Arabidopsis thaliana: one gene and its partner. The protein of the gene in region 1 interacts with the protein of each later gene in a pairwise test. Each region holds a gene or a part of one and is shown in the gene's direction. Other genes may lie near its edges. The genes, in order: NAC097 and AT5G66330.

Evidence for each region.
Region 2: the proteins of NAC097 (region 1) and AT5G66330 interact in a two-hybrid assay, tested with the Arabidopsis thaliana proteins (one study listed by BioGRID).

Annotation. Positions count from the first base shown.
Region 1 is NC_003076.8:20,675,806-20,682,767, forward strand, and holds NAC097 (NAC domain containing protein 97), read left to right. Parts: upstream 1-3,416; 5' UTR 3,417-3,419; coding exon 3,420-3,606; intron 3,607-3,632; exon of another isoform or gene 3,633-3,668; coding exon of another isoform or gene 3,669-3,708; coding exon 3,709-3,980; intron 3,981-4,078; coding exon 4,079-4,201; 3' UTR 4,202-4,469; downstream 4,470-6,962. Other genes in the region: TIM8 (translocase inner membrane subunit 8), read right to left, coding at 70-255, 653-700.
Region 2 is NC_003076.8:26,498,626-26,506,326, reverse strand, and holds AT5G66330 (Leucine-rich repeat (LRR) family protein), read left to right. Parts: upstream 1-4,539; coding exon 4,540-5,796; 3' UTR 5,797-5,925; downstream 5,926-7,701. Other genes in the region: SHI (Lateral root primordium (LRP) protein-like protein), read left to right, coding at 184-805, 1,240-1,581, 3,040-3,071; AT5G66340 (uncharacterized protein), read right to left, coding at 3,174-3,285, 3,429-3,562, 3,802-3,825.

The DNA of each region.
Region 1 (6,962 bases):
ACACTTGCCAAGAGAAACAAAAAAAGGATAAATTAAAATTCCAACAAGTATGATATCCTCCAATCAATTTTACTGCGAATTAAAGCGTTTCATGATGATCATACTCATATCCATGTAGCGTTGAGCACAATGAGTGAGGCAAGAACTCTCGCTTGAGCTGAACTTACTTCCCGGTGCGCTTGTGATGCATTTGTCCCAGCACACACTTGTCATCTTCGACACCATTTCGTTCACCATTGCTCTTTCTTTCTCTTGCTGCCACACAAACACACACCCACATTCTCTTACAATTCACCAAACATAAACCCAAGACAAAAAAAAATCATTACTTTGCATAAACCCTAATAAACCCAATTCTTGTAAACACATATTAGTACACTAAATCTCAATTCAACTTGATTCTAATCATACCAACTAAATCACACATGAAAAAAAAAATCAGATCTTTCAAGTTTAAAGCATCGAAATGTTAATTTGACCCGTCAACGAAGATTCAAATAAATGGTTTCTGTGAATCCAGACAGGACTTAAAACACTGCTTCTACTTATAATTTCGCTGTCCAAATGCTCAAGTTTCCATGTGAATCGACTTAAAAAGCTTTAAAATTGAAAGAACTAATTAGCATTCATCAAAAACAAATCGGAGACTTACGGCGAGGAATTGAAGCAATTCCGGGTTGTTTGCCATGCTAGGATCCATGTCTGGTGAGCTGAGAGCGTCTCTGCTTGAAGAAGAAGAAGGAGAAGAAAATTGTTCTCAGCGACTGAAAACCCTAAAAACTTTTCTCAAAAACCCCAAAAGGCTACAATAAAGTTCAAGAGACGCCGCTTACTTACTTATTGGGCCAAAACCCCCATTAAAAGCCCAACAGTTAAATAATCATATTGAGATCAAATATGTAAAAGTTTGATTTAAATATGGATCATGATCTGGGCCGAGTGTACGGATATATAGGGTGGGTAGACTCAGTGATTTTAAACCCGGACCCGACCGGTTTAATAGGGAACCAGCAGGCACATTTGGGTCTAAACTAGTCATAAAACCGGACTTTTTAAAACTCTGATGGAACCGGGAACTGGCGGTTCACCCAGCTATTTGTTGACTAGTTCATGTATTTTTTTGGTGGTGTATATCAAATATTCTTCTAAGAATTCATTTGCTCCAAGATAATCAAAATGTTACAATCTCCATTGTGATTAACTTTAAAGTTTAGAGGTCGTCGGTTCGAGTGACGCTTGGAACAAATTTCGGACCTAAGGGAATTACGGGCTTCGTCCCAAAACCTCCTGGTATTCAAAAAAAAAAAAAAAAAGGAAAGAAAAGTAACTTACTTGACTAACTTAGTATGCTTTGGTAAACCCATTCAATTAGAACTAGATTCAAAGACATTATTTTAAAACTATTTTCTTTTTGCATTGGAGAACCAATCAAAAAATTACGTTCAAGTGTATGTATGGTTAAAAAGAATAATTGAACATGAAGATGGTGCTTGTACCATATCAATATCAACCATCAATTGACAACACTAAGTTATAAAGAAATGAAACTTTTCATTTATGTATGTCGTTGCTTAAGAAATGTCGCTAAATCATCAAAATCTAAAGTAAAAAGAAGATTGAAAACAAACAAATAAAGGAAATGGAAAGCCAACATCTTCGAGGTGAAGAAAAGTACCAAATCCAAAATGCTGCGTGGGAGGAGTAAGACATATGATTCTAAATTGACAAATTTAAAGCTTTTTCTATATCCTTTATGAATATAAAACAAATAGAGCTTTGCCTACTTTCAACACATGAAAATTATATAGAGAAATTTTGGACTAGAATTAAAGCTAGATGTTAACAATTTAAAATATTTATCAAATATAAGCTAGTCATGTTGCATTCGAATTAAGATTCAGCAAAAGAAAGCTGATGAATACTCTCTTCCAAGTTCCAACCAATTAAACTAATCTCGATTCCTTAACAATGAAACAATCATCTTTAATCCATTTCATTTTCTTTTCTTAGTCTTTCGAAAGACAAATTATGTAACCTTTATTTCTAGTGTATAAAACATAACATTATACAAAGAGGACTAAACCTAAAATGCTATTTGTAAAAATCAAAGGCTGATGCTGGAAAGTTGAAGCAAAAAATTGGAACAACTTTGGTTTGGTGGGGGCTTTGGGAGCTTTATTGATCCAAGGAAAAAAAGGAAGGATAAAAGGCAAGTCACCAGTCCAAAGACACACATATATACAATAATTTATCTAAAATAATTGAAATTAAAGAAGTGCATGAGAGTAGAAAATTGAGTCAGACCAACATCTAATAACTTACTCGTTAAGTCAGCTTCTCAAATCTTTAAGTTGGGATCGACTTGGACTCTCTTTCAAATTCACTTTTGTTTTCTGAATATACTTTCTTATATTTTTCTTATTTCTTAATCATTGCTTATGCATATTTACTTAAATTTATTGTTTTAAAAATGTATTGTATCCCGACATTATTATTTCACTTGCCAAATGATAAAGACAAAGAAAATTTTGATTCCTCGATGATATAAGTTTTCCTTTTCCACGTATAAATTTATACCAAGAAATGATTTTACTACAAAATTATAGGTTGAACGTACGTCCAAAACTTTCGCTTATTTATGTACATTCATATCTATAATTCGTATATCATTCCGACATTACTATAAGAAAAAAAAAGGGTCGCATGGATATTTTTACATGGATGATATATACACTAGTCCCTAAACATGTGTAAGGTCCCTAACATAAAGGTTTGTTTTCTTTTTCGGTGTGAAAACATTTCAGATTTGGAATAAACACTGTGGTAATTTTTCGGGTTTAAATCCACTCTAAACACTTACGTGTATTTTTACCTGGGCTAACCGATCGGCTTATGAAAAATAAAATTTCAAATGCATGTTAAAATTAGTTCTGGGCCAATTGTTAGAAATGTGCTCGTTTTAGTTATTGATGTTGAATGTACTTATATGGTAATGAATCAGCGTGGATCTAGGCTTTTGGAACTTAAATCTTGTTTATTTCGTTTTGGTTGAAAAAATAAATAATTACCTTTGCCCAGGAAAACGAAAAAGGAACTAGATTATCTTTACCAAAAAAATAAAGATATTTTTGAATACTCGCTATATTCAAAACCTTAACAACGTTGACTGCATGGGTACATGCACCACAATTTGTTATGATGATCCTCGCATTTAAATAAACAAAAATGAAACCAATCTACGATCTCTGAATTTGCAGTTATCAATTTTTTTTTATCTATTTATCTCTTGAAATTAATAGTAGTACGTAAAAAGTATCTAAAGGAAAAGCAGAATCCGCTTTTGCCAAACTAAAGGTGACACACTCATAAGTATATATAAACAACCTAAACCAAACACAAAGGATACTCATAAGAAAGCAATGGACATTTCTGCGCAGAGATTTGCCATGAACGGAAGAAGCATGAGACTCCCTCCCGGGTTTCGGTTCGATCCCGATGATGAAGATCTTGTGTTCGAGTATCTCGCCAAGAAGGTCCTCCACCGTCCAATGGACTTCGATCTCCCTGAGCTCCGTTCTTGCAATGTTGATCCATGGGACTTGCTAGGTTTGCTACAAACTCTTCTCTCTAATAATTACTATACCATATCACGTCAAATGTATTGAAAAATGTGGTTTAGTGAATGTTGTACGTACACTTTTGTTGTAGGAGAGAAGAACAAGGAAGTGTATTACTTCGTGAAGAAGGAAGAGCGAGAGAGGAAGGGAAGAGAGACGTTATCCGGTTATTGGGAAGAGTGTGAAGAAGAGGAAGTAATGGAGGCTGGTGGTCGTGATTGTATTCATTTAGAAGGAAGGAGAAAGACATTTGCTTTCTTTATTGGAAAAAAACCTCGAGGGACAATAACTCCATGGATCATGTACGAGTTCCGACTTCTTTCCTCTAGAGCTACAAGGTGGTCATCGTCCCCTCTACCTCGGGTGAGTCACTCATTGGACTTTTATCTTTTTCTATAACATATATTTTTGTTGTAAGTAATAGTTTAGAGCTAACTATATCAATGTTTTGGGTTTTAAAGGGTGAGGTAGGAAAATGGAGGGCGGTGAAAGTCGTAGTGAAGGAAGAGAATGATGAAGAGATGGTGGAGGATGAGCACGAGTCTGACGAGTCTGATGGCGAGGAAGTTATTCAAAGCCGGTGACGACCGAGGTTGATGCCATAAATATATGTACTTGGTTTTGTGGTGAATCGTTTGAATTTAGTTACTATTGTTAGGATATTAGGGAACATCTAAATGAAATATATATGCATGATTTGTCTTATTGTCTTCCAAGCCCTTTGGAATGGAATGGAATGTAATTGAGGATGTGGTGAAAGATGCCACAAGTTGCTTTCACTCTCCCGTTTTATTTTGTTCTTGTCCAATTATATATATATATATATTATTAGTGGTCCGTTAGACCAATCCATCCAACATCACATGAGGAGGTCTTCCCACAATATAAATACAACTAGATTTTAATCCGCGATATACCGCGGGACGATTTATTTTTTAAAAGTAATATATATTAAAATTTGCAAATTTTATTTTTATAAAATATTTATATTTTACAGTTTATAATTATTATTAAGTAACGCTATACCACGAATCCATGAGACAATTTTTAAAAAACTGAAGTTGTAACCCCTATTAAAACAGCATATTAATAATATTTTAAAATTTTATAAATATTGATTCAAATACATCCACCATATAATCCAATTCCAAAATAAAACCTGTTGTATAATTTCTTTACCCGTCCCGTGATTTTTTTTTAAAAAAGTAATTTTTAAAATTTAAGAATTATTTTTATATATAAAAGTTTTGCAAATTATATCATTCTCTAATACATTTATATTTTATAGTTTAATTTTATATATAGTAACATTATACATACTACATAATATTTTCGGTTTTATATAATCTTTTCTAAATTAGGATGATTTGATATGTTTAATATTAGTGGTCTTAAAAAATAATAAATTAAATATTTAACCAGTATTGAAACGGTGGATTAATTATATTTTACTTTTTTATTAATGTTGATTCAAAAACCCGTCACTCCAAATCTGTCTTGCCAAAAAGCCATTTATTTTATTAATATTAATTTTATTAATGATATGACTCTGAATTATAATCTAAACATTTTAGCTAATAAATAGGAGTACACCATATTTATTTAATAGGGGAATGTACCATATGACCCGAATGCACTTTTACCCAAATCCACCAAAAAAGTCTTGCAAAAATACTATAGAGATAAGAAACGATAGTCGGTTTTGATAGGTAAAAGATTAGCAAATATATTAGTTAGCTTAAATTAGTTAAAGAATACAAATTGAAAAGGTATATTACACTTTATTCGAATATAGTATCAAAACTTATATAACACAGAGATTTGATAATTTTTTAATTGTTGAATACTTTTTTTTGTGCTAATTTTTATGTGATTAAGATTTAATTGATTATATATATAAAATATTAAATTGTTTTACGAACTTATTTGTTTATAATTTGGTAACAGATAGATATTTGAGTATTCAGTATATTTTGCTTCAGTTTAGGAAATCTTTGATGACCCGTCTTTAGATCCAATAAACCTTATAATCTAGATATTAACCTGCAGTATACCGCAGGTAGGCTTATATTTTAGTTAAACTAAAAACTTTTATTGTAAAGATGATTTAAAAATATATGATATTATTTTATTTGATTTTAAATGTATAGTAAACTGTGAGTTGTATATGTTTTGTTGATATTATGTATATTGTTTAGTGTTTATAATTAGACACTTGTAGTTTAATTGTTAATTTAAGAGTTTCACATGTAGTATACCATCTTGTATTAATATCGATCTAAACCCGTCAATTCTAGGATTTTCCAGCTTGTATTAAAAATTGAATCACATCATACACATAAAAAAATCTAATATGTTATTAATTATTATAGTATATAAGATTATAAATTTTCAATATAATATGTATGAAATTGAATATAAATATTTCAAATTATGACCCGTTACTCAGTAGAAAGTTTTCTTAAATCTATTTTTCACCCTTTATAATATTTTTTCATGTATTGAACAGTTTATATTTGTTTTTAAAAATTTAAATTATGGCATATGCGAAAAAACTCTAATTTTTTTTTTATAATGATGATATTATTTTTTCGCAAAAATAGAATCATATAAAGATGAGAAGTGAACTATAATAATTAATAAAAAATTAATATGATAATTTAGATATAAAATCTAATTTGTTGATTTTAATAGGTTACTTTTTTGGAAATTAATAATGTATTTTTTTAAATTTAATTAAATTAATTAAAATTTAAATATCAAATCTTATATGTTGATCTTGATTGGTTATTATTTTTGAAAATTAATAATGTATTTCGTTTTTTAATTAAATTTAATTAATTAAATTAGTATTTGACTTTTTAATCCTTAAAGAGATAAATTAATTTACTCTTTAAAATTTTATTTCTAATGATATACCTATGTAATTACTTAAAAAATTAATGTTATATTTAAAATGTACTTTCCAAATAATATAGTAGGATATGTAAAAGAAAGTATAATATTTTAATGTTTGGGTATCTTTATATTTAAGACACAATGTCTCAAATGTCTTTATAGAGACATTTTGGAGAGAGATGTCTCAAATTTAAAGACCCTTTTATATTTAATTATTCATATCTTATAATTATAATTTTTTTAATATAGCTAAAGACCCTCTCCTTTTATATGCAATGGAGATGCTCCTTCATCATTAGTATATTTTGTTTTGAATTCAAGATTTCTAAATATAGAATTTCCTAAAATAAATACATGGTAAACTCGTGGGGGTTATTGACTTGATTTGATACAAAAAATGAGAGGATATAGTTGTGATCGCATTTGATTAATTTAGGCTGATGAGCA
Region 2 (7,701 bases), 5.8 Mb from region 1:
TTCTTCATCCTCTCATAATTAAAGATCTCTATCAAGAGAGAGATCTTTTATTGTCTTCTTCTGTTAAAATCTTTTGATAGATCTTCACTCTCTGAAAGTCAAGATCTTAGTCTAGGCAAGTAAATATGTGGTAAAGCAAAGCCCTTCTTGAAATTGGTCATATATGGCTGGTGGTATCGGAAAATGGCAGGATTTTTCTCGTTAGGACACGGCGGAGGAGGAAACACTCCAGACAACCACAGAACAAACACTAATAATCCTTCTTCATCGGGAACAGAATCTTGGCTTTGGTGCAGAAACCCTAACTCTAACGCTGACGGTGGAGAAGCTGGTCCTTCTTACAAAGGAACCCTTGAGCTATGGCAACACCCAAACAATCAAGAAATCATTTTCCAGCAGCAGCAGCAACAGCAACAAAGGCTGGATCTTTACACTTCCGCTGCGGGTTTAGGTGTTGGACCGAGCAACCGGAGCTTAATTGAAACTTCCGGCGGTGCGTTGATGATGATGAGAAGCGGTAGCGGTAGCGGCGGACCAAGCTGCCAGGATTGTGGGAATCAATCTAAGAAAGACTGCTCTCACATGAGATGTAGGACTTGCTGCAAGAGCCGTGGCCTTGACTGTCCCACTCACGTGAAGAGCACGTGGGTTCCTGCCGCTAAACGCCGAGAACGCCAGCAGCAGCTTTCTACCGGTCAGCAACCGCAGCAACTGGGAGGGAGCGTCCCTAAACGACAGAGAGAGCGTATCCCGGCGAGATCGACTTCCATGGCCTACACTCGTATACCTTCTAACAACACTTCAGGTATTTCATAATATCTCTTTATGGTTATTCACCCCTGAATGAAAATTAAAGTAATGAGCTTTGAATAACTTGAGTTATTAGTTTCAATTGCAGAAACAGAAACCCTATTTTGATCAGCTTTTTTTGTTCTTCTTTTTTCATTTTCAAGAAAAAAAAAAGGTGAACGATTTTCTTCTTCCTATTTTTTTTTTTTAATATGGAAATACTGTAGATCAGTAAGACTGACTCTTGGAATGACAGGAAGAAACTGTTCTCACTGATCTTGATATTTGTGTTTATATCCTGTAATTATTAAGTTTTTGTTTATTTGTTTGTTAATGCTGTAATTATTAATTTGAGTTAAGATAAAAACAAACAAACAAATCATACGTTGAAAATACTCCTACGATTTTTTCTTATAATTAACAATAATTAATTAAATGTTTTCTATCTAGGGTTGGAGGTTGGGAATTTTCCGCCGGAAGTTAGCTCGTCGGCAGTTTTTCGGTGCGTGCGTGTGAGTTCCGTAGATGATGAAGAAGAAGAGTATGCATATAAAACAGCTGTGAGTATAGGCGGTCACGTCTTCAAAGGTGTTCTCTACGATCAAGGCCCGGCCGAGAGAAGCTCCTCGGGCGGTGGATCTCAGCCGTTGAATCTCATAACCGCAGGCCCATCGGCCTCATCATCAAGCCCAAACGTGAGCTGCAACAATGGAGTCGTTGGCTCCACTTCAGATCATTATATCGATCCTGCCTCACTTAATTATCCTACTCCCATTAACACTTTCATGACTGGTACGCACTTCTTCTCCAACTCAAGATCTTGAATTCCACACAGAGAGAGTACAACAAATCATAACTTTTTTTTAGATTCTTACGGTAGAATTAGGGTTTTAAAACATCTTCGGAGGTGAAGATTATAACGTACTAATCTTGGTTTTCAAAAGTAATTAACTAAGGGAGATAATGTTCTATTAAAACAATTGTTACCTGATCTTTTATTATTAAGTTCAAATTTTGTAGGTATAATGTTAATGTAATAGTATACTCCAATTTTCAACTGTTACAAAAGTCAACGACCCTGTCTCTGTGAAAGCTCACATCAAAAGCAAGATTTGCAGCTGGCAGTTTTCAACTGTGATCGTTAAACTCAGCCTTGTTTTATTGTCAGCTTTTCACATTACTCTTTTTTTAGGTTTACTTTAACATTAATTTACCTTTCAAATTACTACTTTAGGTCAATTAATTGCAATTATGATTTGCCTGTAGAAATATTAATGTGAAAAACAAGGTTACAAAATTGAAATTTGGGTGAAGACATGTATTTAGGTGTCTTGTGCTTTTGGTCAACAAATCAGACACACTAGCACAGGTATATCGTTCGTCTACGACTACTATATATCCGGCAATATGCCATACCCTAATCTTAAGTTTTATTCAGTTTGAGCCGTTTTTAAAGTGATGCTCTCATTCCTATGATTGATATAATGTCAGTACACTTACATTTGAAGAGAGACTTACTGCCACATCCGACTCTTTACATTATTTTTTATATATATATATCCTGATAGCCAGTTTCTCCATATTTCTATCTTACATAGTTTTCACATCGTACGTTACGGTGTATTTTTTAGCCACATCTGAAGGGGCTTTACTATACAAATCTCAAATGCAATCCCCAAAATCTGACAAGCAGTGAGACTGTATGTGTATTTTGATTCTTTTGTTACAACGAGTGAGGCTGTAAATTCGGCAGATTATGAGTGAGTGGGGGAACAGAAAAAGGTGTAAAATTGGTATGCATCTTTATTTCTGCAGGTGTTTATGTTTGGACCTAAAAAAACTCTTCTTTCCCAATTCATTTCTTAGGCTCTCTTTTTCATTATTCAATTTACGTCACCTCAAGAAAGCCATGATGATAACGAGATGCAAAAAGAATCGGAAAACGAGCTAACATTATAATAACTCATTAGGATTAAAATTTAATTAAGTGTTGCATGGAGTTGTGAAGACTTGTAAAAAAGATGCACACAAATCATGCATTTTGTGATTTACATTTATATCATTCTATAATTGAATTGGTCCCATTAAACCTTAAACAGCTAATCCCACCTTGCTTATGCTGATTTGTCCCCGATTATTTCCTCCGTACTACTCGCACCATGTCTTCGAAATTTCTCTTTTGGAAAACCTAAGTTGCTTTTTATTTTCTTGGTCAAGCAAGACTCAAGAGTTTGATGTTGTTGCACGTAGAAAGGATCTTGAAGACGGATGTCGGATGGTGATAAAAGCAGCAACTTTAAACTCCGAACGCAAGTGGGGCCTTAGGAAATTTCACTGTGAACCAATAAGAGAGTAACACGTCTGAGGGACAATTTGCAATTCCATCATTGCATTTCAAGGGGACAAAACAGAAGCCTCAGGTCCACAGCATCAAGCTTTCCAAACCGAATTTTTAATTTGAGTGTCGCAGGCTCGCTGCATAAAGAGAAGACGACACTGTAGTCCTCAGTGACCAAATAATGAAGTAGCCCAAAACTAAGCCATGCTGTTGCTGGGTAAAACAAAACTACTAAGCCCTAGAGGTATGGGCCTCTGTTTTTCTCTCTCCATGAGACTCACGAGCAAATCACATAACTAACTTTGGATACATTCGACTCTGTTCCTGATCCACTCTTCTCTCCCCTGTTTGTCTTTCTCCATTATCTCTTCTTCCGGAGACTGGAAAGATGGCATTGGGCAACAAACGCACTTCGTCGACGATTTCAATAGTAATCTGGATAAGCATAAATCACAGCTTAGAGGAAAATAGAAGGTCAGAGAAGAGAGTATCGTGATCGATGTAAGCACTAGTTTCTGCTTTGTAATTGTGCATCTTTCTAACTATTATAGGGATGGTCTTTGAGTTCAAGATTAACAAAGAAACAGTGAGACAATTATTCGTTAAGAACAACATACCGACGAAAAGCAAGGACGACAACAAATTCAGATGGTGCCAATAGATTATGTTAGTACCTTTTGTTTTACCAATCTCTGCATAGTCTTAGTGACCCGTTAGGATGATTTAGTGTCCCACATGGCTTAGGTTTAGAGTTTTAGACACCTAACGCTAATGAGTGATCCTATCATATATGAACATTTTCGTCGTCTTCCATAGATTTAAAGTTAGTTAGAGCCAATGATTTGGAACCTTTGCTTGCAACAGCTGCACATTCATTAACCCATCAACCTTGCTTCCTGTAAGGCTATAATTACTTCTTCTATCTATGTCATCAACCAAGACTAGTTTAGATTTTGACAACTTCTGGTCAAATGGGTACGTCACATATGGGAGAAAATGAAATAAATTGTAAAGTTTATTAGTCAATTTATGACATGTGAATTGGTAATATGTCAAATAATCCTAAATCAAGAGTTGTTCTGCTTTGGAATCTCAACAGAATCTAAAACTCATAACCTCTGAGTTATGGTGGATGGGGATAGGGCCAACCACACCTCACTGTACAGATGTTGTTGTCTTCACGCATATGTCTGATGGACAATGACACACATGATATAAATTTACACTATCTATTTTAATATCTCAATCTCTCTATATATAAATTCCTCTGTCTTTCAAGTTTCAGAGCAACTTTCTGTAGATCTATCACACGCCTTGACCCTCTCATCCAACGGTCATTATTCACTCCAAACCCACTCTGCTTCTTCTTCTTCCAAACATCTCTCAGCAGAGCTAACCATCTCTCTTTTGTAATGGCTTCACTTATTTCCCTTGTTCTTCTTCTTTTGCTCACTTTATCTTCAGCAGAGTCCAAGACTTTCTGGGGTGACGTGGCAGCTCTCAAAGACTTCAAGAACTCAGTGGATGCCAAATCCATGAGTCCAGGCTCTTGCCTGAGTTCTTGGGATTTCTCCGTCGATCCCTGCGACAATATATTCAGCGACACATTCACTTGTGGGTTCCGCTGCGACTCCGTCGTTACCGGATCGGGTCGGGTCACGGAGCTCAGTCTGGACCAAGCCGGTTACTCAGGCTCCCTCTCCTCCGTCTCTTTCAACCTTCCTTATCTCCAGACCCTCGATCTCTCCGGCAACTACTTCTCCGGTCCACTTCCCGACTCGCTCTCCAATCTCACCCGTCTCACCCGCCTCACTGTGTCCGGAAACTCCTTTTCCGGATCCATACCCGATTCAGTCGGGTCAATGACGGTTCTTGAGGAGCTCGTGCTAGACAGCAACCGCCTCTACGGCTCCATTCCGGCGAGCTTCAATGGCCTTTCCAGCCTGAAACGACTGGAAATCCAGCTAAACAACATCTCCGGCGAATTCCCTGATCTGAGCTCACTCAAAAACCTGTATTACCTCGACGCGAGCGATAACCGCATCTCCGGTCGGATCCCATCATTTTTACCCGAATCTATAGTCCAAATCTCAATGCGAAACAACCTCTTCCAAGGAACGATCCCTGAAAGCTTCAAACTTCTAAATTCTCTCGAAGTAATCGATCTTAGCCACAACAAACTCAGTGGCTCAATCCCATCGTTTATCTTCACTCATCAGTCTCTACAGCAGCTAACACTCTCCTTCAATGGCTTCACCTCTTTAGAGTCACCCTACTATTCTCCCTTGGGTCTCCCCAGCGAGCTCATATCCGTAGATCTCAGCAACAATCAGATCCTCGGTGCGTTACCTCTGTTCATGGGTCTATCACCAAAGCTCTCAGCATTGTCGTTAGAGAACAACAAGTTCTTTGGTATGATTCCGACCCAGTACGTCTGGAAAACCGTATCGCCCGGATCCGAATTCGCCGGGTTTCAGAGACTTTTACTAGGCGGAAATTTCTTATTCGGAGTCGTACCGGGTCCTTTGATGGCGTTAAAGCCTGGATCAGCGAACGTGCAGCTCGCCGGAAACTGCTTCTCATGGTGTCCGGCGACGTTATTCTTCTGCCAAGGACAAGAACAGAGATCTCCGAAGGAATGTAGAAAGTTTAGCCGCGTCGTCCCGTAATCTTCTCTTTCCTTGTTAGTATCCGGTCCGGTCGAGTTTTTCCGGCAATTGCTTAACCCGATAATTGCATCGGTTAAATTGTGATTAATTTAATAAAATTGCCGTTTGGAGAGACAGCAACTAGCCAACTAGACGATCTTGTTATTAACTAATGACAAATGGGTTTGTGTAACAAAAATGGATAAGATACACGGGATGTGCTATGGTCAGCACGTGCGACCATGAATATGATTTGGGCCCATTTTGTAGGCTGGTGGCCCAGTTGATGATTAGGTCATATGAACAGAACAATCTCATAACCAACAATATCGAGCTATGAGAATTCTATATGCAGATTGCTTGGGCTTTACATGTTGGGTCATATTTATAGAGCCCATATGATACGATAAACAAATGAAAGTGATCTCGTAGGCCCGTCTTCAAAATGAAAACAACCTAACAATTAGGCTGTACAAATAGAAAATGACAAAACAAAAGGGGTGTTCCTTCATAAAGGAAATGGCGCCACCATTCATTCATTCATTTGGGTTTCATCAAAAGTCAACACTATGAGTAGATGACAACCTCCTCTAATGTCTCATACAGTATATTCTTAGTTTTCACTTTCGGTACGTCTTTTTAGATAGTTTTGATTCCTCAAACTCGTTTCATATACAAAAGACAAATAAAATTTGCTTTTCTTTTATATTTGAAAAAAAAAATCGTAATGCAAGAAGGTGAGATAGTTTGAATAGTCTACCACGGTCAGTATGTGACAAAATTGAATGATTTTCATTTTCCCGCTCCAAGGTTTCGAATTTGATATGTTGTCTCCTTTGCTTTCTATGTCTTAATGCATAAAACCAAACAAGTGTTTCTTATTTACATTAACAAATCGCTGTCAATTTTGTTTTTTCTCTATTTTTAATGAACAAATTCATATCATTGGTGGTACGATCCATTCCATAGAAAAAAATGGGAGATGGAAGATTCAAAAGTGGCTAACAATTCTCGTGGGACTTTTTAGCTCCTCTCTCTCACACTCTCTGTCATAGCTTCTCTTACTATTCTTCTTCTTCTTCTTCTTCTTCTTAATTTGACATTTCAAAATTTAAAAGAAAAAAAAAGTACAACAAACATAAAGACCCCATATCAAGAAACGCAGCTTTGCCGACGGATACGTCGAGGCTAGTTTTGTCATTTAATATTTAGCATTGTTACAAAATATTTATCTTCTCAGATTATCCATTTCATTGACAGAATTAGAGTGATTTATGAATATACGTGTTTTAATTTAGGCAAGAGTGTGATGATTTTCCACCCTAAATAATTGTGAAAACAAAACATCAATGGATTAGCCGTCGGGGAATTCTGATTGGTCGACTCACGTCAAATGCATGAGATACAGCCAAACAGAGCACGGCACGTCAGCATTACACGTGGCTACTACTTCTCAAGCCGGCGGCTCGGCTCCGAAGACCTTTTCCACTTTTTTTTTTTTTTTTTTTTTATCTCACCTAAATTTAAAACTTTCCTAGGATTGCATTTTAATCCTTTAAGATTGAGACAAAAATGTTTAAAAATATTTGTATGCACATTTTGGAAATAAAGTATAGCCAATTCATTTTGATGTATAATTACAACGATGCCTTTGTTTGGAAGTCATAATCATCACGCATTTTCCAAATATAGGGGGGAGATTTCCATTGCTCTAAAATTCAACAGTTTTAAACAACATGCAGATTCTGTATATGATACAAATAAATGCAAAATGCCAAAACTATTGTTCAACCAAACAAACAATTAAAATTAAAGGCTAAGCAATAGTAATATTTACTCCGAATTGGATAATGCTAACTAATAAAATTTTATCCACCAACTCAACTAATAGTTACCAAAAGATTAGAAGAGAATCTACACAATTTG